Linked DNA regions of Caenorhabditis elegans. The protein of the gene in region 3 interacts with the protein of the main gene of each other region in a pairwise test. Each region holds a gene or a part of one and is shown on either strand. Other genes may lie near its edges. The genes, in order: ceh-23, ztf-20, xnd-1 and nhr-20.

Region 1 (5,320 bases), 2.2 Mb from region 3:
ATTTGAGAGCAAAAATCTAGATGAAGAAAAAATTATGTTTGCAAGCACACTTTGTTGGAAAAATTCGATTAGGTCTTGATCTACTAGAGCGGAGAAAAGATTTGATAATAAATTAGGCGTTTAAAAACTTTTTGCGTAATATCTACGTAGGTTAAAAAGAATTTAATCAAAAAATGAAATGCCACCAAAGATTGAGAAGAGTTTAGAATTTTATAAAAAATGGCTTTCACACAAGTTTCGTAGAAAAAATTGAAAAAAAAACTGTGGTATTCGGAAAAAAGAACCCAAAATCAACATGAAAATACTCAAAAAATGTCCCCACCGAAAAATTCTATAGTTTATAATATACATTTTAAAATCAAAAATAAATATTAAAGTATTCTTTTTAAAAAAACTTGCATTGCCGGCAATTGCCTAATATAAGGTAATTGTTGAAAAACCCAAAAAAATCTGAAAAACTGACGGAAATTTGTTATTCAATCGCGAATTGTTCGAGGTTCTTAAAACAATATTTTCGAATCAATCAGATATTTTTACATTTACAGAAAATTATCATACCAAAGTGGGCACTTTTGTGGATTTGCCACACCCCTGGTTTTGAATTCAAATATAAAAAACCAATATTTGATGGTTTTACAACTTTGAAACTTAAATCTGAATTTTAAGGATTCATGCATATGTACAGTACATAGCTCATTGCACATTTACACGTCATCATTTCGAATAATTTTTAATCCTTTCAGATCATCCAATTCTTTATCCACTTGTGACTTTTTTTCCCAATCACGTCAAAAAAGTTTTAAGACGCTCCAACTAATTATCGAATCCACTCGGCTCAATCCGGATAATCCTCTCACTCCCCCCGCCCAAAGCGATTATTCGATGAACAAATGATCTTTATCACTATAATCATCGTCAAAGCTATCATCATCAGAAGGTGATAAACTACATAGCTCCGCCTTTTCCGTTTTTAAGCATCTACGCTTTTTTTGCTAGAAAAGGCTAAGAGGGCGGGCTCTCCTTAAAAATTGAGGATATATAAAAGATTGTTTTCTAAAGCTGTGATGTGATCAAATAGTTATGATTGGGTGCATTTTTTGTGTCATAATCTTTGAAAATATTTGTATTTTTTATTTGTTTAGATATTTTCCAATTTCTAGCTCCGACCTTCTGATTTAAATGAAACATGTGACCTGCGAAGAATTTGAATCAGAAGTTTCATAATTCCGGCTTCGGGTCAGAAAACCCACAAATCATATTCTTAGTTTTTTTTGAAGGAAAGTGGTAGGTATTTAATGTTTCTGTATTGATTCTCAGAAAGTTAGTTACATCAGGTTTAGGTACCTACATAATTGTTCAAAATATGATAGTGGCAAGTTTTTAACATGTGTTTCAGTGGAGAAAAGTATGAATTCTTAGAAATTGCATTAAAAATAACAAACCTTGAGATACCATAGTTATGTTAACCTTCAAAACAAGTACCGTATTTCCACTAGTAGTAATGCACTTTACTCTTAAACTTTGGCAGCGTTTGTCGTAGTTTTTGTTCGTTCTATCGAAAAATTGTCAACTGATAAATAATTTGTTTGATTTTTTTTTCTATAGATTCGCAGTTATCTTACAAACGAACAGTGGTACAATCTTTTAAATTTAAGCAGTTTCAAGTGTTTTAATTTTTTGTGGTATTAGACGTTATTAAGAGCAATTTATGTTCATGGCTATTCCCATAAAACCTCAAAATTAGTTTCATTTTTGATCTTCTTTTTTCCAAACATTGAGACTTCCTTGAAAATGACAAATAATTGGCTTCCATTTGCATGTAAAATATGTATAACGTTCGATCATATTTAAACTTTAAAGCACATTAGCCTGTGAGCTTTGATATCTGACTAACAGAAATATGTTAGACACAAAATTCGATTGCTCTCAATTTTATATTTGAAACTTTCGAAATTTTCACCAATTAAAAATTTTACACTTAAAACTCAAATTGTTGAAAATAATCTAATAGGTTGTAGTAAATTGGAGCAGCTGCAGAAATCGAGAAGGAAAATTAAGTTTCAGATTTTTATTTTAAATTCTCACTTTTTCATTTCTGATATGCAAAAATGTGATTAAATAAAATCCTCCAGACATTCATTATCTACGTCTTCCCATCTGATTCCATTCATCTTTCATAATCCGATTAGCAATTTCAACATTTCCTGGAAACACTGATCTTTAAAAATTAATCCTTTTCATTTTTGTTTCGTCTGACTCATTTAATAATATCTACACTGATATACCTGCACAACACACTGACTACTATTATTACTTTTACTACTACTATGACTACTATAATCTACTAATGAGTGGTAAATTTTGAGCTTTGATCATTCGTTCACATCCCTTGGTAATTGGAGAGAAGCAGTGTATTTTCATATTCCCAGACTCACACGTTTTTGAATTTGTCTGCAATAGTGAAAACTTTAGTTTCTATAATTTACCATTCAGGGGTATCAGCATTTTATTGCACCCAGTAATTTTAGATAATTTATGGTTTGAATCTGTTTTTGTCCAACTTGATCTGATAAACTTAGAACAGTAAGTTCTACAATTGCCAAACTTTTAATTTTTTACCTCTTTACATTTTTCAACATTTTTACATTTTTTGATTAATCTTTATTTTCTAGATGGACACCCATCTTCCATTCCAAACTTTGCCAGTTTCAACGCCGCTGCCTGTGTCTTCATCATCTCTAACAGGTAACATCAAATCCATTTTGAAATGTGCTCTTACACAAAGCTCCTTAATATCCAAATCGCATTCCCCCACACCATTTAATGATTTCATGACTGAAAACCATCTGTCAAACACGACAATCATCCGATTTTCATTGCTGATAAGCTGATTTCGGGAATGATGATGATAAGATTTGTTAGACTTATTCAAAAATCGAGAAAGATGAGAAGCTGTATGGCTGACATATCATTTTATGAATTCAGACGTTCTTCAAACAATTGCTGCTTTACAAGCCTGTCCCACATCCTGTATACCTTCAACATCAACTGGAATGCTTTCACCGAATCTTCCCTTCTCGGCTACAATTCCACGTGTCAACTTGTTCCCACCATCACAACCAGCCAATTCTTTAATACTGCCAACAATTCCAGCACAGGTGAATGATTTTCGTATTTTCAAAAAACCTCTTAACCCCTTTTGTATTTTCAGCCTTTTATTCCAAATCCATCTCTCCTGCAAGCCAATCCATCTGCTGTCGAAGCTCTTGCAAATGCACTTTTTGCAACAACAAGCCGTCGGGCTTCTTGCCCAGAACCTCCTGCATCCTCTCAAGCAACCGTCACGCTTCAAGTCCCATCTACGGGTTCTCCAGAACGACGACGTTATTCAGAAACAAATATGGAGGTTCTGCTACGTGAACAACTTGCACAATTGATGCCTCCAACCTCTCAACTACCCGGAATGCCTGGATGTTATTATCAACATGTTCCAGCTGCTGGAACTTCAGGAATTCAAGGATCATTAGATGCGGCGTTAATGGGAGCTGTTCCCTTGGCTATGAATAGTATGGCACATAGTCGGAGAGCAGCAAATCATAGAAAAGCAAGGTAAGGAGAATAAACCAGCAAAATGACACATCTTTGTAGCATACTCTATCAACTTTTTATCAATCTTTAGCACAAAATCTGCAGCTTTTCAGAAAAGAGCTTTTTGACAAATTTTCATTTACATTTCTTTGAAGCTGTGGCGTTTTTTTTCGAGAAGAAGAGCACAATATACTTGTATACTGGCTTCTCGCCTCAAAAATTGAACAAACCAGTTTCAGAAAACTTTCATAAAAAAAGTCAGAAAAATTGTCAACGAATCATAGAACCATCAGGTGACTCATTTAAGATTTTATAAGCTTTATCAAATCCTTTGACGAAATAAACATTTACTTCATTTCCGAAAGGAAGTTTTTTGGCCTCTGACTTGAAGTTTTTAAAAATATAATTTATTTATCTTTAGAAATTCTTAATCAATCTAAAATATAACTTTGACGCAAAACGAAGTTCGTGGGATAATTCATACGTGCCGAATTGAAAAGAAATTGTTGGTTCCCACAGTAAGAAGCTGAAGAAGATTGTTTTAAGATTCTAAACTAAAGATCAAACAAATTCAAAGTTTTCAGAACAATCTACGGTACAACACAAACTCAACAACTGGAAGATATGTTTAAAGGACAAATGTACGTAGTCGGAGCAGAACGAGAAAATCTTGCTCAACGCCTTGGCCTATCACCTTCTCAAGTTAGAATTTGGTTTCAAAACCGGAGAAGCAAACATCGTAGGAAACAACAAGAGGAGCAACAGAGCACGACGTTAGAAGAAAAATCTGAAGAAATTGGAAAAGATGAAGAGGAAGATGATGAAGAAGATGAAGATGATGTAAAAGTTCTGAATTAATTTAATTTTTTTTTTCGTGTTTACTTGTTTATTTCCTGCCATATTCTGTTTTAGAAAATAATTAGAAAAAATGTGTATATTCTTGATTATAAAGCATTAAACAAATAAAGTTTTATGTGAACTTACTTGATAGGTTACGTTATCAGGAAATGGTTCGGTGCTTCAAAGAAAATGTGAAATCTTACAAGAAAGCTTAGCGAATGGCTTCAATTTTTTCTAACTCAATAAATAATCAATATTTTACAAAAAAAGTATTGCGAACAAGAGGTAAAATATTTCTGATCACTTTGTTAGTTGAACATTTGGTTTTTAGACGTGTATTTTTCCAGATACGCCAGTTTGAAGATACGCAATTTAGCGAGTCCTTGAAGTTTTGTGGATATATTTAATTTTGCATACGACCAACTTTTGAAAAAAAAACAGTAAATTCCACTGAACAAACCGTAATTTTCCACATTGAACAACTTATAAATAAAGTCTGTGTGATAAGTTGCCAAAAATTGTGTGTTTAATCGAAATTTCTGATAAAATTCAAGTTATGCCACCAACCAAAAATTGGTTTGAGAAACATCTTGTCTTTGGAATTCTACATTTCAACAAATTTTAAAAATTATACAGATTCTCTTAGACAAGTGTTTTAGAAAAAAATAGCTTTCAATTGCCTCTTGGACGGTTCAAAGTGACAATTTGAGTGTAAAATTTTCAAGTTTTAGCTCCATGTTCCGCCATGATTTTGCCATTTCATGATGGTTTAAAAACCAAAAAAAAACCAACTGAACATTTATTGACTGATTTTGAGTAATATTTTAGAAGAGAATGAAAAAGAAATTAAAAATATGAGAAAGAAAATTTGCTGTGAGGATTTTTGAAAATA
Region 2 (6,053 bases), on a different chromosome or scaffold from region 3:
CTCTCAAAAACTAACTTTTCAACTCCAACAAACTGAAAACCATTGAATTTTTCCGCATTTTCTCGCAAATTTTCGTAAAATTTAGTTGTATCCGTGCCACTTTTCAAGTATTCATTGACAATTCCACCTGAAAATCGGAAATTTGCGCGTTATCGAGAGATGCGCCAACTAGCCTCTGCTAGGCGCATTTTTGTGTTTTGAGTCGACAGGTTGGGTGATTGAAAGCAACATTCCGACTTTTCCATGTGCATCCATTCCTAGCCAAGTACCACGGGCCACATCTTTTTCGTCAACTCCTGGAATTTCCAATTTTCTAGACATTTTTGGGAAAAATTTGAATTTCCGCTGAAAATTTTGAATTTTTATTGTTAAATTCGAATTTTCCATTAAATTCTGCTTTTAGTGGTTTTTCGTTTGACTTTCTAGCTCAAATTTTGAGTTTTCTGGGGTACTGTAGCTCCGGAAGTCCGCAAACACCGACTACCGTGCCCCAAAACACCGAATCTTACGGAATTTTGAGCTAGAACTCTGAAAACTGGGGCTTAGGGGTAAAATGTGACGAAGAATTCAAATTTCTTAATGAACAGTGTCTGAAATTTTCGGAAAAGGTTCAAATTTCTGATTTTCCTATTTTTTTGAAAAAATAAAATAAAAAAATTCGATTTTCGTTACGAAATTTGAGTTCTCCATTAAATTCTAATATAAGAGGTATTTTTCTGGGTGTTCTAGCTCAATTTTGAATTTTCTGGGGTATTGTAGCTCCGGAAGTACGCAAACACCAACTACCGTACCCCAAAACACCGGATCTTACGGAATTTTACACGGAAACCCTAAAAACTGAGGGGTAGGGGTAAAAATGACGGGGAATTCGAATTTTCCAGTGCAAAATTGCAAAAAAAATACATTTTTCTCAATTTTCTGAAAAAAAAATTTTTTTTTCTAAATTTTAAAATTTTCTAATTTTTTTAAAACCTTCACATAGGTTTTCAAATATGCGGAATTCGATTTCTTTATTTCAATTTTTCCAATTTTTCCCTGTAAAGTGATAATTTCCAGCCTTACCACTCAGCATCCCATCGTGCCAGTGAATGGGAGTAGTCGGCCGGTCCAAATCCTCATCTCTATTGTTCAGAATAATTAATTTGTATTTTTCACTGGGTGAAGTAGCAATTTTAATAAATCCAATGCACATTTTGGAAAACTCTGGAAAAAATCCGAAAATGAATTTTTAATTGAATTTTTTGAATTTTTTGAATTTTTGGGTGAAAAGTGTTGGAAATTTGCAAATTTTGAACAAAAATGAGAAGTAGTTTGAAGAAATGAAAAATTCCAAAAGAAAATTTCCAAAAAAAAAAATTTCAAAAAAAATTTTTTTTCAAATTTTTTCAACATTGAATATTATCAGTGCTACAATACACATATGACCACAATATAGGCTTCAGTGCAAAAGTTTTTGCAGAAAAAAAGTTTATTCCCGGGGAAAATAACATACAAAGTACACACAGAAACGCGGGAAAAAATGATGACATTTTCTTTATCACAAAAAAATATCAGATAAGAGAACAATAATCAGAGATCATAAAACAATATATACACTGGAACAATACAAAAAAGAAAAGATAAATAATTTTTTTCCAAATTTTTTTATTTTTGAAAATTCCATAAATTTCATATTAAATTCAATTTTTCCTTTAAATTCTGAGCCTTTTACATTTTTTCTGGAGCTTCTAGCCCAAAATCTAGAAATTTGGGTTACTGTAGTTTTGGAAGTACGCAAACACCGGATTCTACGGAATTTTGCACAAAAACGCTGAAAAGAATGATATAGATGTGAAATTCGTCGGAGAGCTCGAATTTCACACTGAAAAAATGTTTAAAACTTCGGAAAATGCTGAAATTTCAGATTTTTGGATTTATATTGATTTTCGACACTAAAAATTGAGAATTCTCATGTTTTAATGTGCAAAATTCGAATTTCCCGTCGAATTCTGAGTGAGAATCGTTTTTCCCGGTATTCTAGCGCTGAATTTGAACATTTTCGGGTACTTCACACTGCAAAGGTTGAAAAAATCTCAAAAAATGCTGAAATTTCAAGCATTTAGAATTTTATGGTATTTTCCGCAGTTAACATTTGGTATTTGTATACTTTACTGAAAAATTCGAAATTTTTATCGAATTCTGAGCTAATCCGTCTATTTATAGGCTTCTAGAGTTAAATTTGAGAAATTTTGGGTACTGTAGCGCCGAAAGCACGCAAACACCGACTACCGTACTCAAAACACCGGACTTGACGGAATTTTGCACTAAAACTCTGCAAAGTTGCTACCCGAGGTAAAAGGTGATGAAAAACTAGAATTTTACAATAAAATCTCATCAGAAATTGCAGAAAATTTCGAATGATTTCTCTGACAATGTCGTTTCAAGTTCTTTTCACTATCACTGCTATATTCGCATTTCTCGCATCGAATTGATCCTCCTTTAATATTCATTCCACGTTGAAAATGTGTCTGATGATTTGTTTGTTTTCCATGTCTGAAAATATTTAAAAATTTAAGAAAAATCGTGAAAATCTGTAAATTTTAGAGAAAAATCGATTAAAAATCTGCAAAAATCAATAGAAACTGTTTTTGGTAACTACTAATTTTTTGGGCGCTGCTAATTTTTTGGGCGCTGCTAATATTTTAGGCGCTGCTAATTTTTTGGTCGCTGTTAATTTTTGGGCGCTGCTAATTTTTTAGGCGCTGCTAATTTTTTGGCGCTGCTAATTTTTTAAGCGCTGCTAATTTTTTGGGCGCTGCTAATTTTTTGGCGCTGCTAATTTTTTGGTCGCTGCTAATTTTTGGTCGCTGCTAATTTTTGGTCGCTGCTAATTTTTGGTCGCTGCTAATTTTTGGGCGCTGCTAATTTTTGGGCGCTGCTAATTTTTTGGCGCTGCTAATTTTTTGGGCGCTGCTAATTTTTGGTCACTGCTAATTTTTGGTCGCTGCTAATTTTTGGGCGCTGCTAATTTTTGGGCTCTGCTAATTTTTTAGGCACTGCTAATTTTTGAGCGCTGCTAATTTTTTGGGCACTGCTAATTTTTTAGCCGCTGCTAATTTTTGGGCGCTGCTAATTTTTTGGTCGCTGCTAATTTTTGGTCGCTGCTAATTTTTTGGGCGCTGCTAATATTTTAGGCGCTGCTAATTTTTTGAGCGCTGCTAATTTTTGGGCGCTGCTAATTTTTTGGTCGCTGCTAATTTTCTGGGCGCTGCTAATTTTTGGGCGCTGCTAATTTTTTGGGCGTTCTCACCTGTAAAGTGCTTTTCGATTAGGAAAACTCCCCGAACATTCCGCACAAATCGATTTTTCCCCGCAGATTTTTATCGATTTTTTCGGAATTTCCGGTGGTTTTTCTGGCGGTTCGGCGGGAATTTGAATTTTTCGCTCAATTTTTCGGCGAGGAGGTCGTGTCGCGTGTTCGGCGGTTTTTCCGTGTCTGAGAAAATATTTTTTTAAAGAAAATTTCTGTTTTTTTTTTAAATTAAAATATAATATACCTGTAAAGCCCTTTCCGATTGTTAAATGCATCTCCACACGTAAAACAGTACAATTCTCTAGGTTGTGACGTGACGAACGACGATGACGTAGTAGTGTCTAATGCCACGTCATCATAGTAGATGAAATCCTGCGATGACGTAGACGGCTCCAGGTGACCGAGAAAATCAGCGGCGGATGGATCCAAGAAATCTTCCTGAAATGATGAGAAATTGCAGCGCCCAAAAAATTAGCAGCGACCAAAATTCCAAATTTCCCAAACTTTTCCCTAATTACGTACCACCATATGTTTTCCCATATCCACTAGACATTCTTCCTGTGTATTTTGGAAGTTATCCTCAATAAATATCACACTTTGTGTCATTTCTTCAACTGCTGCGTCCATACGTTCTGGAAGTACTTTTTTCAAAAAATTAAAAAAATTTTGCTCGTCTCTACAAACCTATTGCTTCTGAAAGATGAACGTCTGGTAGTTGTGAAAATTCGTGTTTGAGTTGCTCTAGGTGTTCTAAGAAGCTTTCCATCTGAAAATTAGTTGATCGTGGCGGGACCCCCCAGAAATTCGAATATTTTCTGAAATTTTCAAACTTAGTCATGATTATACTTTTTCAAACCGCAGTGGTCTTCTGATTCCAAAAATTTACAGAAAATGGGTCTCACCACGAAAACCAGAAGTTTTCATGGCCGGACCCAAAAATTCAAACTTTTCAAACCTAGTCATGATTATACTTATTTAAACCGTCATTTTATACTAATTTCTAATAATGTCAAATGAAATCGATTGCTCGAAAATTCACACTTTTCGTGGCGAGACCCAAAAACTCGAAAAAATAAATAAATTCGGAGTCTAGTAATGATTATACTTATTAGAACCGCCATTTTATGCTGATTTCAAAACTATAAAATTTCAGGAATTTCGATCGAAAATCACCGAGTTATCCTAGTTTTTCTGATTTTCGCGGCGGGACCCAAAAATTTAAAATTTTTAAATAGTCGTGATTATACTCATTCAAACCGCGCATTTCATGTCAATTTGAAAACTATTATGAACTAGAAATTTCGATCGAAATTTGCCGAGTTCCGCTAGTTTTTTGGTTTTCGTGGCAGGACCCAAAACTCAAAAAAAAATTAATGAATTCGAAACCTAGTCATGATTATACTTATTCGAACCGCTGTGATCTCCTGATTTCAAAAACATACAAGAAAACCAGCGGGTTACTGTAGATTTCATGGCAAGGCTCAACTTTTACAATTGTCGTTAAGTTATAATGGAAATTCGAAACCATATTGTGTAAAAGTGACTCAAAATTGAAAAAAAAAAACAATTATTTATTTATTTTGAAAATTAAAAAAATTCAAACAAAAATCCAAAAAAAAAAATTTTGAAATTTTTTATTTCAAAATTTAAATTTTTCGCATTTTCAAAAACTAAAAAAAATTTAAAAAATCATTTCAATATTCCATCGTATCCTGCACAATAACTTCTTCTTCTTCAATAATTTGTTCATGATCCCACACTTCTTCTTCTTGTTCCTGATGTACAATATGGTGGTGGTGCTCCACACCGAATCTCTGCTCCATTCTAGCCAAAAGCCCGTCGGCCCGGTCTAAAACCGCCGAAAATCTGTCCTGATTTTGCATTTCTCGTCGAATAAGCTGTAATTTCAGCTCGTGAAGGTTTTCAGCCGATGTTGATGACGTGGATTGTTGGGGTTCCGGTGGGAAGGTGACACGTTTTAGTAGCGGTGGTGGTGATGGGGCAAGGTTTCTGGAAAAAAAACTTTTGTTAAAAAACATTAAATATGATATTTCTTATTGAAAAATAGAAAATAGAAATTTGAGATTTTCAAAAAAAAAAAATTTTTTTTTCAAAATTTTTATATTTAATTTCGAATTCCGTACTTCTGCAAATTTTCTACCACAGGATCCATAGAACCAGTAGCCTCCACAAATTCTTGTTCCTCATCAGCAATTTGTTGATATCTCGAGTACTCCTTAGACTCTGTTCGTACTCCATTTTGCTTGAAAGCTGGCTCAAATTGAATTGGTTCACCTTTCCAGTAGTATACAATTACAGCGTACTCAGGGGATCCCGGGAAACTGCAAAAAATTCGGTTTTTGAAGGTGGAAAGCTCAAGAAAATTGGTTTTGTTTAAATTCTACATTCTCTTTAAAAAAATACAATAGCTTTGTTCAATTTTTCATCTGAATCCCTATATTTTACAGTATTTCTGAATAGATATATCGAATTAAAACTCAAAACCACAATAGTTTTGCTCGAAGTGATTCAAATATTGTATATATTTTGTTTCGAACGCGCAAAATCGAGTGTATTTATTTTCAGTGAAAAAGTTTTCTTTCAATCGTGTTGGTTTTTAAATATTACATATTCTCAATTGAAATTGTTGCGAAATAGCGTCATTACATAATTTAAATATTTGTTCCCCAGAGTAATATATTCCGGACCAATAGATTGTCAATACCACTGATGGTTTTACGACTACATATCGTCTCCTGTA
Region 3 (6,207 bases):
CAGGAAATCAATTCGATTTCGACAAGATGTGCTCCCCCACTGCAATTGCTCATTCTTTAGCAATTGAGCCATGGAGCCGTGGACTCTTCGATAAAATGCGAGCATCCCATCAGTCACACTATGAACAATTTGGAACGATTTCTGGAGATTTTCGAATTGGAAATCACACTGCTTCTGGAATTCGAATGACGAGCATGAGAGATCACACGATTGCTGGATACCGCAGATGGTCAGACATTCGAAGGTAAAGTGGAACTTGTTTGCATCGTAGATTGACTAAATTTCCAGATATATCATGATGATTTACCATTTGGAAGATGGTACATGTGTTCATACTTCGGTTATTTCAATGCCAGAAACTGTTTTTAGTCACCTTGAATTTGGATATATTGTTACACCGTGGGTTGATGCATCTACGCTCCAAGAAAACACATAAAATGGCTCAACAGGGCGCATTTGAATTTTTCTGCGAGAGACACCACACATTCACAGCGTTTTGAAACCGTGGAATTCAATTCACGGAATATGTCAAAAAGTGACAATTACTCAGTTTTTCCACTTATAATTTTCGAAGTCACCCCAAAAAATTGTTTTTTTATCACATTTTTTAATACTTTAATTTTGTTTTAACTATTCGTATTAACACATTGTAGGGGTATGCAACATTGCTTTAGATTTTCTCAATAGCTCCTATTTTTCAATATTTTGGCAATTTGCGAAAGCTTACGAAAAATATAAACATTTTTGGAGTGTTTTATTATGATTTTTCGTCGTTTTGGATCATTATAAGTGTCCTTTAAGTCGTTTCGAGACCGAGTACCGTATTCTCGCAAAAGATTCTAGTAATTTCCTTAATGGGCAGAACCTAAATTTTTTTTTTCAGAACTGGTGAGACGAAGCCAGTGGATCGTGTACACTTCTCCCTTCCAAACCACGGAGAGGATCGTCATTTCCCTGATGATTTCCACTACTCGTTCGAAGTTGACGGCAAGATTCATCACGCAGATGTTCATATCAAGGAAGCCGTCTCATTCAAAATGGGATTGGATCAAGCATGTCAGGTCACCGAAGGAATGAGCGAATTCGTTGTCGACGGAAAGCCGGGATGGGGATTCGCGGAAGTCGAGTATCGTATTCAGCCGTATTAAAAAATTATCAAATTCAGATTTTCTACCTTTTCCACTTACTTTATAAAACCGTTTCATATGCTACTAACAAATGTGGGGTCAACGTGCAGAACAGAGCAACAGTAAAATGTACAAAAAATAATAAAACACTGGGAGGGGATAACAAGTTCCGAAGAACTAAAAACATGAGACAACAAAACATTTAGAACGAGAAAACAAAAACAAAAGAACAGAGATTGTAGCAGCTACGTAGCAGAAGTTGAAGCCCTTTTGTCAACCTCATCCAGTAGATAGTTCACCGTTTCTTGGACACTTTTGTCAATTGGAGTCTGTAAAACCAAATATTTCAAGTTTTCAAATTGTTCAGTTCTCTTACCCGAACAATATACTTTGTGCACGATTTGAAGCGAAGATATAGTCCCTTGCGAGGAGACTGCACCTCCAGAGGCTTCTCCTTTCTCGGGCGGCCTCTTTTGCGAACAAGGCTTGCCGTCGTGTCCTTCTTCGGCTGAACTTGCTCTATTTCGGGCTGCTTCTTCTTCATCACCGGAATCACTGCAGTCCTGGGAAGCGAGTAGGGAGTTTTGAGAGTTGGTGGACGAAGAATCCTCGGAGTTGTGATATTTGACCAGCGGAGAACGGTATTCTTGGGTGGTGGTTGATCTTGCAGATTTTGGGAAGACGTGGATGCTGTTGTGAAGTTTGTGAGTGGATGATGTCTTTTCTCATCTTCATCATTCTTCTTTTTCTCCACTGCAGTTTCTACTGGTTGCGTAGTGGGTGGTCTTCCAACCGGTCTTGCTGCTGAGGAAGAAGGACCATCAGAACCTTCCCTATTACGAGCCATCGATGCCTGATTAACTGAGTAGAACTGAGTGAGTACATGTGGAGCTCGCATGGTCTGCCCACAAAACTTCTCGGATCCGAAAGAAGACTTCAGGGAGGTCAGTTCGTTTCTCTGAAAAAAGTTAGATTAAATCTTCTTTGTTCTTTGAAACTTACCGAAACACCAACACGATCAGCACACTTTGGAATGATAGACATATTGGCAATCTCAATACATCTACGAACCGTCGCACTGCAAAATCCGGTCATCTGAGCCGACACCTCGTCCGGTTTCTGCCAAACAGTTCCAGCAGCTCGATCGCCGAGTCGTTTCGCGTATTCTCGATTCCAAATTGCTGTTCTAGCTACCATGACGCGTGTCTGATCGCAAAGATGAGCACGGATGGCAATAACGGTAGAATCGTCGACGAATCGGAAGGAGCTCATATCCACAGGCTTTTGAATTTCGGCGCAACGATAACATCTTCCATTGACTCCTTTGACGAAGGCGGGGGCCTGAATTTTGAAAATTGTTCGTTGTAGGTCTCGCCACAAATAATTTGATTTTGTAAAGTACTAGCCAGTGGCAAAATTTTAGGAAGAACTACGGTCGCACCACGAACAATTATCTCCAATCATCCCGGCGCAAAAATGTAAGCGCCTTTTAGAACTACAGTAACCCTTCTCCTCTTCTTTTCAATGTCGCTGAACTTTCTTATTTTTCGCCAAGATTTTTTTAATTTATTGAGAGAAACTGGAGTTGGGTTACTGTAGTTCTTCAAAAAATTTACCATTTTGTGCAACCATTAGATGAAAATATTTTTTGCTTATGATGAAAACAGGGAATGAAATAATATAATTATTGGATGAAAAACACTAGTAATTGCTGAAAAGTTTTTTTGTTAATGATAATGCAGGAAAATTCGAAATATTGAAGTTCCACTTTAGGGTTTTCCAAAAATATATAATTTACCGCCATATTCGAGTAGAACGTCATAGGAGTTTTATGATTATATGCAGGAATTTGGACACTTTTTGGAGCCACGGTACTGTTTTTGGCTTTTGGACGGAAGTTATTCGCTTGTCTGATCACGGCGTTTTTCGTCATCTCCAGAGCTACTTTTTTACGTTCCATTATCGATTTGGAGAGTGGAAGGATTGGAATTGCGCTCGCCGAAATTTTGGTTCGTAGAAGCTGTGATGGATTGATTTCCTCCAATCTGGAAAATTTGCTTTTTAGCAGGACTTATTAAACAAATTGTCATTATTTTGGAAGTCAAGGTTTTCAAAAACCCGAAATTCAACTTACTCAATTCGTTTTCCGACTCTTTCCGTATGTTCACTTCCAAGCGTTGCGTCTTCCTCGAGAATTTTCCCTTCACTTGGTTCGCTTACAGACTCCCGAGTACTTCCACTTTGTCGCTCGAGAATTGGCGGCGGTGTGACAGCTCGCTGGTACCGAGATCGCAGAAATTCCTCCTCATCAGAATCATAACTGTTTCGGAAGATATCTGAAGAGAAAATGAGCTTTAAAAAATCAAATTTTCATGGAAAATACCTCTTTTGGTTCGATTCGACTCAAATCTGGATATCAGAGATCGCTGTGGTGGAAGATCTGGTGGGCGTGTAGGGTCGGCCATAATTTTAATTCTGAAGACGGGTGATTGTTTTGTTTAATAAAAAACTTTTTAAAAACTAACGCTTCCTCCTCTTCGTCGAATCCAACAACGTCCACATCCTCATCAGAGTCTGTAAGCACTATTGGCTTAGATACAACAGGATTCGGATTTTTTGGAGAATTTTGTGCCTTTTCGAGTGTTACTTGTTGGTTATTAACAACTAACGGGGACTTCGACTTGTCTGTATTCTGAGAACGAATGACGTAGACTTCTGAAAACAATATTTTTATTTAACAGAGGACCATTTGCAAACAAACTTCTTCGTGGCAAATTTGGATCCGTAGCTTTTTTAACTGGCTTTGGTGGAGGTGGGAGACAGGAATCTCCGAATGAAGCCCATCCAATATGAGCTTTAGGTTCATAATTACTAGAAGATGCCGGTGGTGAATCAGTTTCGTCGTCGTCGTCGACTATCAGAAGATCATCGACGCTCAACGTTTTCTGGGATGTGGAAGGTTCATCATCTTTAGCAGTTTGCGGTTTTGGATCAACTTTTGGAAACTTGACCGCTGCTCGTTCTTCTTCATTCATAAAAGCAAATGACATTGGGGATATTGGTGGAAAAGCTGCGGGTGCAGGCTCTGTCGTCATGGAATTGTCTAGATTGGCAACAATGGGTTCAGAAGACATCCTGGAAACAAAAAATATGGAGATAAAATTTTTAAATTTAAATTTAAACTGTTTTTATTTACCAGAAAACTAGAAAATCCCAATGAGAAAGAAGGGAAATTAATAGAAAAATAAAGTTTTAAAAATACCTAAATTTTCTACAGTACCCGAGGTCTCGCGAAGATTTTGGTCCGCAGTACGCAAACACTCTTATGCTTGTTTACCGTAACCACTGAAATATTTTTTCGTTGTTTTTCTTTATTTAAAAAAAGTTATCTATTTTTCGAAATTTATTGAAAATTTCACATTTCAAAACCGTCAATAATTCTTTTAAAATTCATTTTTCGCAATATGGATTTTCTTCAAATGTTAAACCAGAGTTTTCTTGTAATTCCTTGAACAAATCACATTTTTAAATCACATAACCATTTTCGTTTCTGGAAATCTTCACTTTGAAGTTGAATTCTTGTTAGATTATATTTGTTTAACTCTGAAAAATAGTTAAAATGTGTGTTTTTATATGTTTTGTTTCAGATTTCCCCTGCTTTGTTTTCCTTTCCTAGACTAAGTTTTTAAATTTCGATCAATCCTTTTTCTTCATTTTACCCTCTCAAAACCATTTATTTACTCACTTGAGAGACGCAGAGAAACCATCGATGGCCTAGATGTCTCGTCTCGCCTCCTTCTCGGCCACGCGCGCCTATCTATCGATGTTTTTCTGCCTGTTCGCTCCGTTTTCTTTTTCGAATCTTGACCGCTTCGCATGCCTGTTCCGTTGCGGTTTCTGAAGCGTTTCGGTTGCGTCGCGGTTCCCGGCTCCGCCCTACTACCCGTTCGAGTCTCCCACGGTCTGTAGCACGTCTATCACCTATGTGAATGAGTGTGTACGATCATCTTCTTGCCAATCGGGTTATTGGGTTCAATGGATCGTAGATTGATATGAAACTCGAATTCGGGAAGGAATCGCCACGCAACGCAGCTAGAAATGCTTGAGAAACTTGCGAGAATTTGAGAAGAAAATAAATTTCAGAATTATTATTAAAAATTTCCAATGAGCGACCGACGGCGGCACGGAACAGAGGATTATCAAATCGCCGGTCTCAAGCATTCAATGACAAGTAAATCGATATTCATAGATTCAGAATTTCCAATAATTTTTCCAGGTGTCGCCTCAAGCTCCCACGGTGGTGCTGGAGACCTCCAACAACAATTTTCCAGGGAAGATCCACCCGTAAAAACTACGCAATACACACTTGTAAGCTGGAAAACGTTTAAAATTCAAAATTTTCAAATTTTCAGCTTCAACTAATCAATATGGTTCGAGAAAATCCGATTCTCTACGATGAGGAGATGCAAGCCGCCACGCCGGATGCTCAGTTGAAGGTTCAGAAACGAGAAGCATGGGATCGGATACGTGCTGATATAGTTTGGCAGGACATCACTCTTGTTCAGGAAGTCTGGTCGGATCTTCTCGATCAATATGCTAGAAAATCGATTGATATGTCCGATGGACTAATTGAGGCAATGCGATGGACAGATTCATTGATTTTTAAGAAGAAATGTAAGAGTTTCTTGCAAAGAAATACACCAAAATCATTTATATTTTCAGCAGACTCTCGACCTCCTTCACAGCTCACCGCAATGTCCTCCGGACTGGATAAGGATTTCTATAATGACGTTCCGCTGGCAGAAGATGTATTAGAACCCGGACAAAGTCTCGGAAATTCTGAATCCATGAAGTTCGATTATGTGGTTATTCAGCCTCATGTTAGGCCACATCAACAAATTCCCACATCTTCATATTCCCGTCGAAAATCACCACAATCAAGAGAAACAGAGGCAATTGTTCGAACTTATCCATTATCGCCGAAGCGGATAGTGGTAAGTGCAAAAACGATGAAGTAATTACTACTCAGACCCTAATTTTTCCGATTTTTGCTGACTATGAGATAACCGGTCTCGTCACA
Region 4 (6,186 bases), 1.4 Mb from region 3:
AGAACAAAATTTGGAGTTTCGTGCCAGTGGTCTGTGCAGTGAACACCTTGTTTTTCCTGTCTAGAACGCATCTCTATGAGCTCATTTTGGTAGTTTCCTTGGGAATAGCACCCTTTTATGATCTTCTATTAAGTGTATTTTTTAATACAATAAATCCTTGTGAATTATGATAAATTTTCGACCTCTAATTTTCTCAAATCACTTTGTATAACCTCCCAGAAAATTAGAAAAATGTTAAGCTAAACTTATGGTGCATCGACTGAACGATAATGCTGTCGAAAATAATTTTTCTGATCGTTCTCTACTAAAAATTCAAAGTTCAACTTATTTTATATAGCTTGGTCTTCTGTTTAGCATAAACAAAAATATATTAAATTTTTTAGTCTGCGTAGTTTTCTCTTCCTCGTGTGTCTATTTCTAGACGACCTAAAGCTCCCGTTAATAAATTTATTCCAGTCGTCGCTCGATTAATCCCCCCTCTGCTTGGTCAGAATGCTCTCTTGATCTAATAATTTGAGATTTTTGTGACTGGTGTTTGATGGAAGACGTTATCGAAAAAAAAACAAATTTTTGGACCTGGGGTATAAATCTCTAGGCTTATAATTTTATTGTTTCTAGAACATTGTTTGCTTAATTTTCAGAAAATGTTTAGAATTGTTTAGGTTTTATCAAATTTGAATACTAATTGATATTTGCAGAGAAAACAACGTTTTTTTGCTAAAAACACTTTTTTTTGGAAATTGCTTTAAAATTCGTCGAATTTCAACAAAATTATATTCGAAAAAAATCAAAACTTGCCAAAAAACAATTTTCTATTCGAAATTTCCCCTTATTATTTTTTTTTCTGCCAATTCAATTTCAAATTCCCACGCAAAAAAGGCGGCCACCGACCAATCACCTATGTTGGCTACGCCCACTGCGCATCGCTGATTGGTCTGCGCCCTCTCACGACTATTTTTAAAATTTCTGAATCAAAATAACAATTTATTCGCAAACAATCTGACTGAGTTTCAAGAATGCAGCCAAATTTTTTTGAAATCTGAAACCAGGTTTAATTTTTTGATCTCTTTGAATCCCTGCAGAATTCATTAACATCACGTCACTACTAATTATTTGATTATATGAATCACTTGAATCAGCATCATATCACTTTTTATCTGGGGAATATCAAAATGTTTACTTTCAAAAAATTCCCACGTGTGTTTTTTTCCGCTTTTCGGGACATTGCAAACATGTGATGAAAGCATAGAAAACTAGAGTCTAGTTGTAAATAGGGACAAGTTTGAAAGGCTTTTCCTTTCTCTTTTCTTCTGAAAATAGACTAAGAAAAGTGTTTCTGAGAAACGATTTTGATGGATAAAAATAATAAATTTAATTTTCTCCTTTTAATGATTTTAAACATTAAAGCAGAGAAAAGTTGGATTTTGTCGAAATAGTCTAAAAATTGATTCACTAAAATGTTCTAGATTTTCAATAAGTTATGAGCAGCCCTACACTCGTTAAATGCAAATTTTTGAAGCCTAACTGAAATATAAAATCGTAGAGAAAACTTTTTTGGCCGAATTCCAATATTATGGTAGGTAAAAACATAGCAATCTCTAATTTTTTAGTGAAAAAAAAATTCAAAAATTTTTTGGAAAGCTTTACAATATTAGAGCAACTTTCAACAGCTCTTAACTTAATTTTTATGAGTCGTAGCAAAAAATTTTCACCTGCAAAAAATAAGGATCGCAATCGAAAAATACCGGTAATCTCAGCAGTGGTCGTTTTTTGGAAAATTTGGCAAATTTCAAAACCTAGAATTAATATAAACCATGAAAATTTTGTGTAAACTGAAAATACCTCTAACTCTAAAAATTTACAAACTTATTTATCGTTAGTTTAAAAGTTTCCAGATTTTCGAATTCTCATTCAAATTGCATGGCAAATTGGCATTTTTTTTTTCAAATTTTGGATTGTATTTTCAAACTTTCACAAAGTTTTGATATAATTAAAATATTTATTTATTTTGACTTTAAAAAATATATGCCCTGAAAACAAAGCTTGACACTGCTCATAGAGGAAAAAATACCAATCGGAAAAACACGGTAAGTATTTTCAACTGATCACATTTTCATCCAAAACAATCAATTTCGAGATGTATATTAATACAATTCATAGATTACTATAATATTAATAACATAGATCACAGCTCCACCACCTACACACATCCTATTTTGTATCTATCCAATAATTGAATCAAAGAGGCGTGGGGAAATATTTTTCGGAGAGTTATGTATAACAGTAATTCCTTTGTTGTTTAAACTTTTACATGATAGCCAAGGTTTACAATTTGCAAATTTACAAAAATTAACTTGGAGCCATGTGCCTTTAAGCTTCTGTATCTCTGAAAAAGGATAACATGTCGCAACCAAATTATTAGTATTTCTGACTAGTACCCTCGGTGTAAAAATTTAAGTTACTGAAAAATCGTCAGTTCTTAAATGTACAAAATTATGCCAGTTATGCAGAAACGTTTTAAATTGTATAAAATGCTGTCAGAAATAGACTATATCTCAACGCGCAATTTCAAGAGATCATGATGCTAGGAGAGACCGGTTTCATTTATTTTCGCGATAGTATTCCTCAAAATGTCATGCACAATTTCACACTCTATTTCACTCATACAGATGATCATCATATTTTTTCTCTGAACGTATTATCTCCGGTCAATTGAACTTCTTTTTTTTTAAATATTGACCTTATATATTTGTTACTCATCTGGCTGTGTACATTTCGCTCATAAAAATAATTTTCAGCTGTCAAAAAACATTGAATGAAACAAGAACGATCAAGTGGTGGTTACAGTGGCATTCCACCCACATCCAAATGCCTTGTTTGTGAGCATCCAGATGGTGGCTCCGCGCATTTTGGGAGTACATCATGTCTGGCGTGTGCCGCGTTTTTCCGAAGGACCGTATCGCTGAATATTCAGTTTCAGTGCAAAAAGGACAAGAACTGCGTGATATTTCATGGTAAGCATCTGGAAATGTGGCCGAATTTTTAAGGTCCTGCAAATAACCAAAAATGTTCTACGTTTCATAGAACGGAAAAAAATATATTATGCAGCGCTCAACATTTTATAGGTTTTTCTAGGTTAGGGGATAGACTCGAAAAATAAAAAAAGATTGTTCACATATATTTTGGGAGTAGTCCGGGTCAGTCAGCAGGCATATTCCGATCTGAAGGCTTACGTGATAGAATCGGAGTTGCAACTTACCTACACACCCACTTTAAAACTACTTTTCCAGAACTCCGAATGATTTGCCGAGCTTGTCGATTCGATAAATGTGTGAAAGCTGGTATGCGGCGAGAATGTGTACAGAAAAGAAGGTCGAATAAGAAAATTCCGAAGAAACATATGAATATGTTGAGAGAAGATCAAATTAAGATGGAATATGATGAGTGCAAGTTTGAATGCTCTGGAGGTGAGTGCTCTTTTTGAAGTTAATAAACTTGCGTGTAAAATACGATGCATTAAGTACGCGTGACTCAATGTATCGTGGCGAGACCCGTTAACTCCTTTTTGAAAAAACCCAAATACTTCAGACCAAACTGATGACAATTCTCCTCTGTCGATTGAGAAAAAATCGCCGCCCGGACTTCTTCCAAATGACAGCCCAATGATGGCAGACTTTGTAAGTGCTTATGAATATTCAAGCCTTCAATAAGACCTAGAAAAAAAACATGTGTTAGGCAGGCATGTAGGACTGAAACCTGCCTGCCATGGAAACTCTAGGAACAAAAACTTAAACATTTATATTTTTTCTAAATTTTCAGAAGTTTGACCCCAGCGATATCCCGTCAACGAGTGGTGGATCAACGCAGAGGTTGGAAAGATGTGAGTTTTTTAGTGGTGGCAAGACCCACGGAGAAAGACGTCATGTACTTTTAAAGGGACATCTCAGTATTTTCAAACAAAACTTACCCAATCAAGTAATTTCAGCACCGTCTCCAAAACTGGCAGAATCGAAAATCCTCAGTATGAACGGAGAAGAGTTGCTTCGATTTTATGTGGATCAGTTGAAAAACTCAATGGACCGGCGACGAATGATTTTTACGGATACTGCACTTTTAGCTGTCATTGATGATCGAGGCGATGTGGTGAGTTTCCCATTTTAATCGGAATTTATTTCAACTTGTGCACAGTTTTTGAAGTAAAATTTAAAGTTTAAAACTGTGCACAGGTTGAAAATAATGGGCGTGGCTTATTGGTACATTTTTTATACTCCTAGTCGAAAAGGTCAAATTTGCAGCCATTTGACGCAACGGAACCACCTCCTCACTCTCTGAAACGACAATACGAATCTCAACGATTCGATAATCTCCTGGCATTTGACTTTTGTAAATGTTGCCCCGGATTCGATTTTCTTAGTCGAGTGGAAAAGGCAATCTTCTTTAGAAGTTGTTCATTAGCCTACTGCCTGCTGGATATCGCTTGGATTACTGTACAAGCTTACCCAGAAGAAGCCGCCGAGCCAGTTTTAATGTATACGGATGGAAGTGTGTGTACAGTTAATAATTTATCGTATGGATGGGATGATGAAGAGGATATTTGTGCGCATGATAAGAAAAAGTGAGTAATTCATTCAATATTTTGAGCACTTATTCGTTTGGAATAAGGAAAAATTTGATTTTGGGCGCATATTTTGAATTGAGAGCTCTCTAGAGAGAACCAAATTTTTGGCTATCGATGCACCATGAAGAAAAATTTTTTAAAGTTAATATAACACAAACTGAAATTCAAATAGAAAATGTGAATTAGGAATAACTTTACTGTTAAATAAGGTCACTACGACCTTTTTTCATTCATGTTGCATCAAATAATTGTCCTGAAAACTTGAATGTTTTGGTCAATTGAATTTTATATTATTTTTCAGGCTATTTCTTGGTTTTTTGGGTCGCTTCAATGACGCTATTTGCCGGCCGATCCGGAATTTAAAAATGACACACGTGGAATTTGCAGCTCTTAAAGCTTTGTGCATTTGGAAACTGGGTTAGAATTCATCTAGTGAGAAATTAATAAAAATCAAATATTTTGTAGGTTACTGTGAATTTACTCCAAGTATGAAAGTAATCGGGAAGGAACACGAAGAAGCATTGCTCAACGGATTACACAATTATTATGATGATTTGTACGGAAATCCTGATGAAACTGGCATGAGGATAGGAAATCTCATTTTGTTAATGGGAACTGTTTTTGTAAGTTTTCATTTACAACTGATAAATGAGACTAAAAAATAATGTTTATTTCTTTCAGGAAATGAATCAATTAATAATGGAAACCTACAAATCGGCGGAACTTTTCGAACTATTCAAGCTAGATGCTCTTTCAAAATCCCTGTTGACACTTTAGTGGAATTTGTTTTCTTTTTTTGTTTTTAATATTTTAATACTTTATATGGAAAAATCAACATTTTACGGGTTCTCTCTCATCTTCTGTCTCCCATTTTCTTGTATTTACTGTTCCTAATACAAAATATAGTTGCGCATTTCAAATGTGATCAATCTGCAATGTGATAAAATAAAATGAATTCATTATGAGTCTCCTTTTTATTTAACAACTGAAAAAATAACAATTTAGATTATGGTGCTGAAAATAATCTCGAAATTCGTGATCCGGAAGCTGAAAAAAATAATATTTGGGTACGGTAGTTGGTGAAATACGCAAACACCGCCACGCGTATTTGCGGACTTTTCATTTTTCAAAAAAATTTTTTTTTAATTTTCTTTGTTTTTTTCTGCAAAAATCGTTATTTCTCTTTGATTTTTTGCGGGAAATTTGTGATTTTTAATGGTTTCACAGATGTTTTATCGAAATATCAACTAAACATAGTCTCGCGACCCTATAAATCATGGCCACCCCACCTTTTCTCAACGTTTCCTTTATTTTCGCCGCGAAATTCTCCGATTTTACTTCTCCCTCCCCGATGTATGGTCCATCTGGAACACGATCTTCGTCCGATCGTCGTCTCGGTTCCAATTTTTTCGCTTTGTTCACACTAATTTTAGAATTTTTCGAATTTTTCCCGGGAATTTTCACATGCCGGCGCGATTCTTGAATAGAAGATGAGTCAGAACATGACTTTTCTGAAAGAAATTGTGACGCCACGTGTTTATTTTCTCCTGTTTTTCCCATATTTTCCC

The links.
Region 1: the proteins of xnd-1 (region 3) and ceh-23 interact in a two-hybrid assay, tested with the Caenorhabditis elegans proteins (one large-scale study listed by BioGRID).
Region 2: the proteins of xnd-1 (region 3) and ztf-20 interact in a two-hybrid assay, tested with the Caenorhabditis elegans proteins (one large-scale study listed by BioGRID).
Region 4: the proteins of xnd-1 (region 3) and nhr-20 interact in a two-hybrid assay, tested with the Caenorhabditis elegans proteins (one large-scale study listed by BioGRID).

The regions. Positions count from the first base shown.
Region 1 is NC_003281.10:7,836,922-7,842,241, forward strand, and holds ceh-23 (Homeobox protein ceh-23), read left to right. Parts: upstream 1-2,670; 5' UTR 2,671-2,672; coding exon 2,673-2,745; intron 2,746-2,985; coding exon 2,986-3,158; intron 3,159-3,211; coding exon 3,212-3,609; intron 3,610-4,172; coding exon 4,173-4,446; 3' UTR 4,447-4,570; downstream 4,571-5,320. UniProt on the Caenorhabditis elegans protein: Probable transcription factor. Required for differentiation of AIY interneurons, acting downstream of LIM/homeobox protein ttx-3. Modulates gene expression, acting downstream of AMP kinase aak-2/AMPK signaling. Modulates lifespan.
Region 2 is NC_003283.11:18,956,115-18,962,167, forward strand, and holds ztf-20 (C2H2-type domain-containing protein), read right to left. Parts: upstream 4,059-6,053; coding exon 3,977-4,058; intron 3,934-3,976; coding exon 3,815-3,933; intron 3,731-3,814; coding exon 3,537-3,730; intron 3,476-3,536; coding exon 3,290-3,475; intron 2,533-3,289; coding exon 2,358-2,532; 3' UTR 1,453-2,357; downstream 1-1,452. Other genes in the region: hrg-10 (DUF833-domain-containing protein), read right to left, coding at 16-127, 174-296, 1,063-1,192; Y39B6A.43 (DUF4124 domain-containing protein), read right to left, coding at 4,987-5,302, 5,437-5,634.
Region 3 is NC_003281.10:5,602,515-5,608,721, reverse strand, and holds xnd-1 (X chromosome NonDisjunction factor), read right to left. Parts: upstream 4,263-6,207; 5' UTR 4,262-4,262; coding exon 3,889-4,261; intron 3,843-3,888; coding exon 3,653-3,842; intron 3,603-3,652; coding exon 3,511-3,602; intron 3,464-3,510; coding exon 3,262-3,463; intron 3,173-3,261; coding exon 2,926-3,172; intron 2,469-2,925; coding exon 2,130-2,468; intron 2,086-2,129; coding exon 1,504-2,085; intron 1,457-1,503; coding exon 1,373-1,456; 3' UTR 1,166-1,372; downstream 1-1,165. Other genes in the region: C05D2.8 (DUF7064 domain-containing protein), read left to right, coding at 4-244, 289-399, 884-1,148; madf-11 (MADF domain-containing protein), read left to right, coding at 5,292-5,358, 5,404-5,495, 5,540-5,801, 5,850-6,121.
Region 4 is NC_003281.10:4,229,832-4,236,017, reverse strand, and holds nhr-20 (Nuclear hormone receptor family member nhr-20), read left to right. Parts: upstream 1-2,798; 5' UTR 2,799-2,815; coding exon 2,816-3,014; intron 3,015-3,290; coding exon 3,291-3,467; intron 3,468-3,588; coding exon 3,589-3,677; intron 3,678-3,819; coding exon 3,820-3,880; intron 3,881-3,985; coding exon 3,986-4,143; intron 4,144-4,295; coding exon 4,296-4,615; intron 4,616-4,919; coding exon 4,920-5,035; intron 5,036-5,083; coding exon 5,084-5,241; intron 5,242-5,299; coding exon 5,300-5,395; 3' UTR 5,396-5,582; downstream 5,583-6,186. Other genes in the region: F43C1.5 (uncharacterized protein), read right to left, coding at 5,625-5,665, 5,908-6,129. UniProt on the Caenorhabditis elegans protein: Orphan nuclear receptor.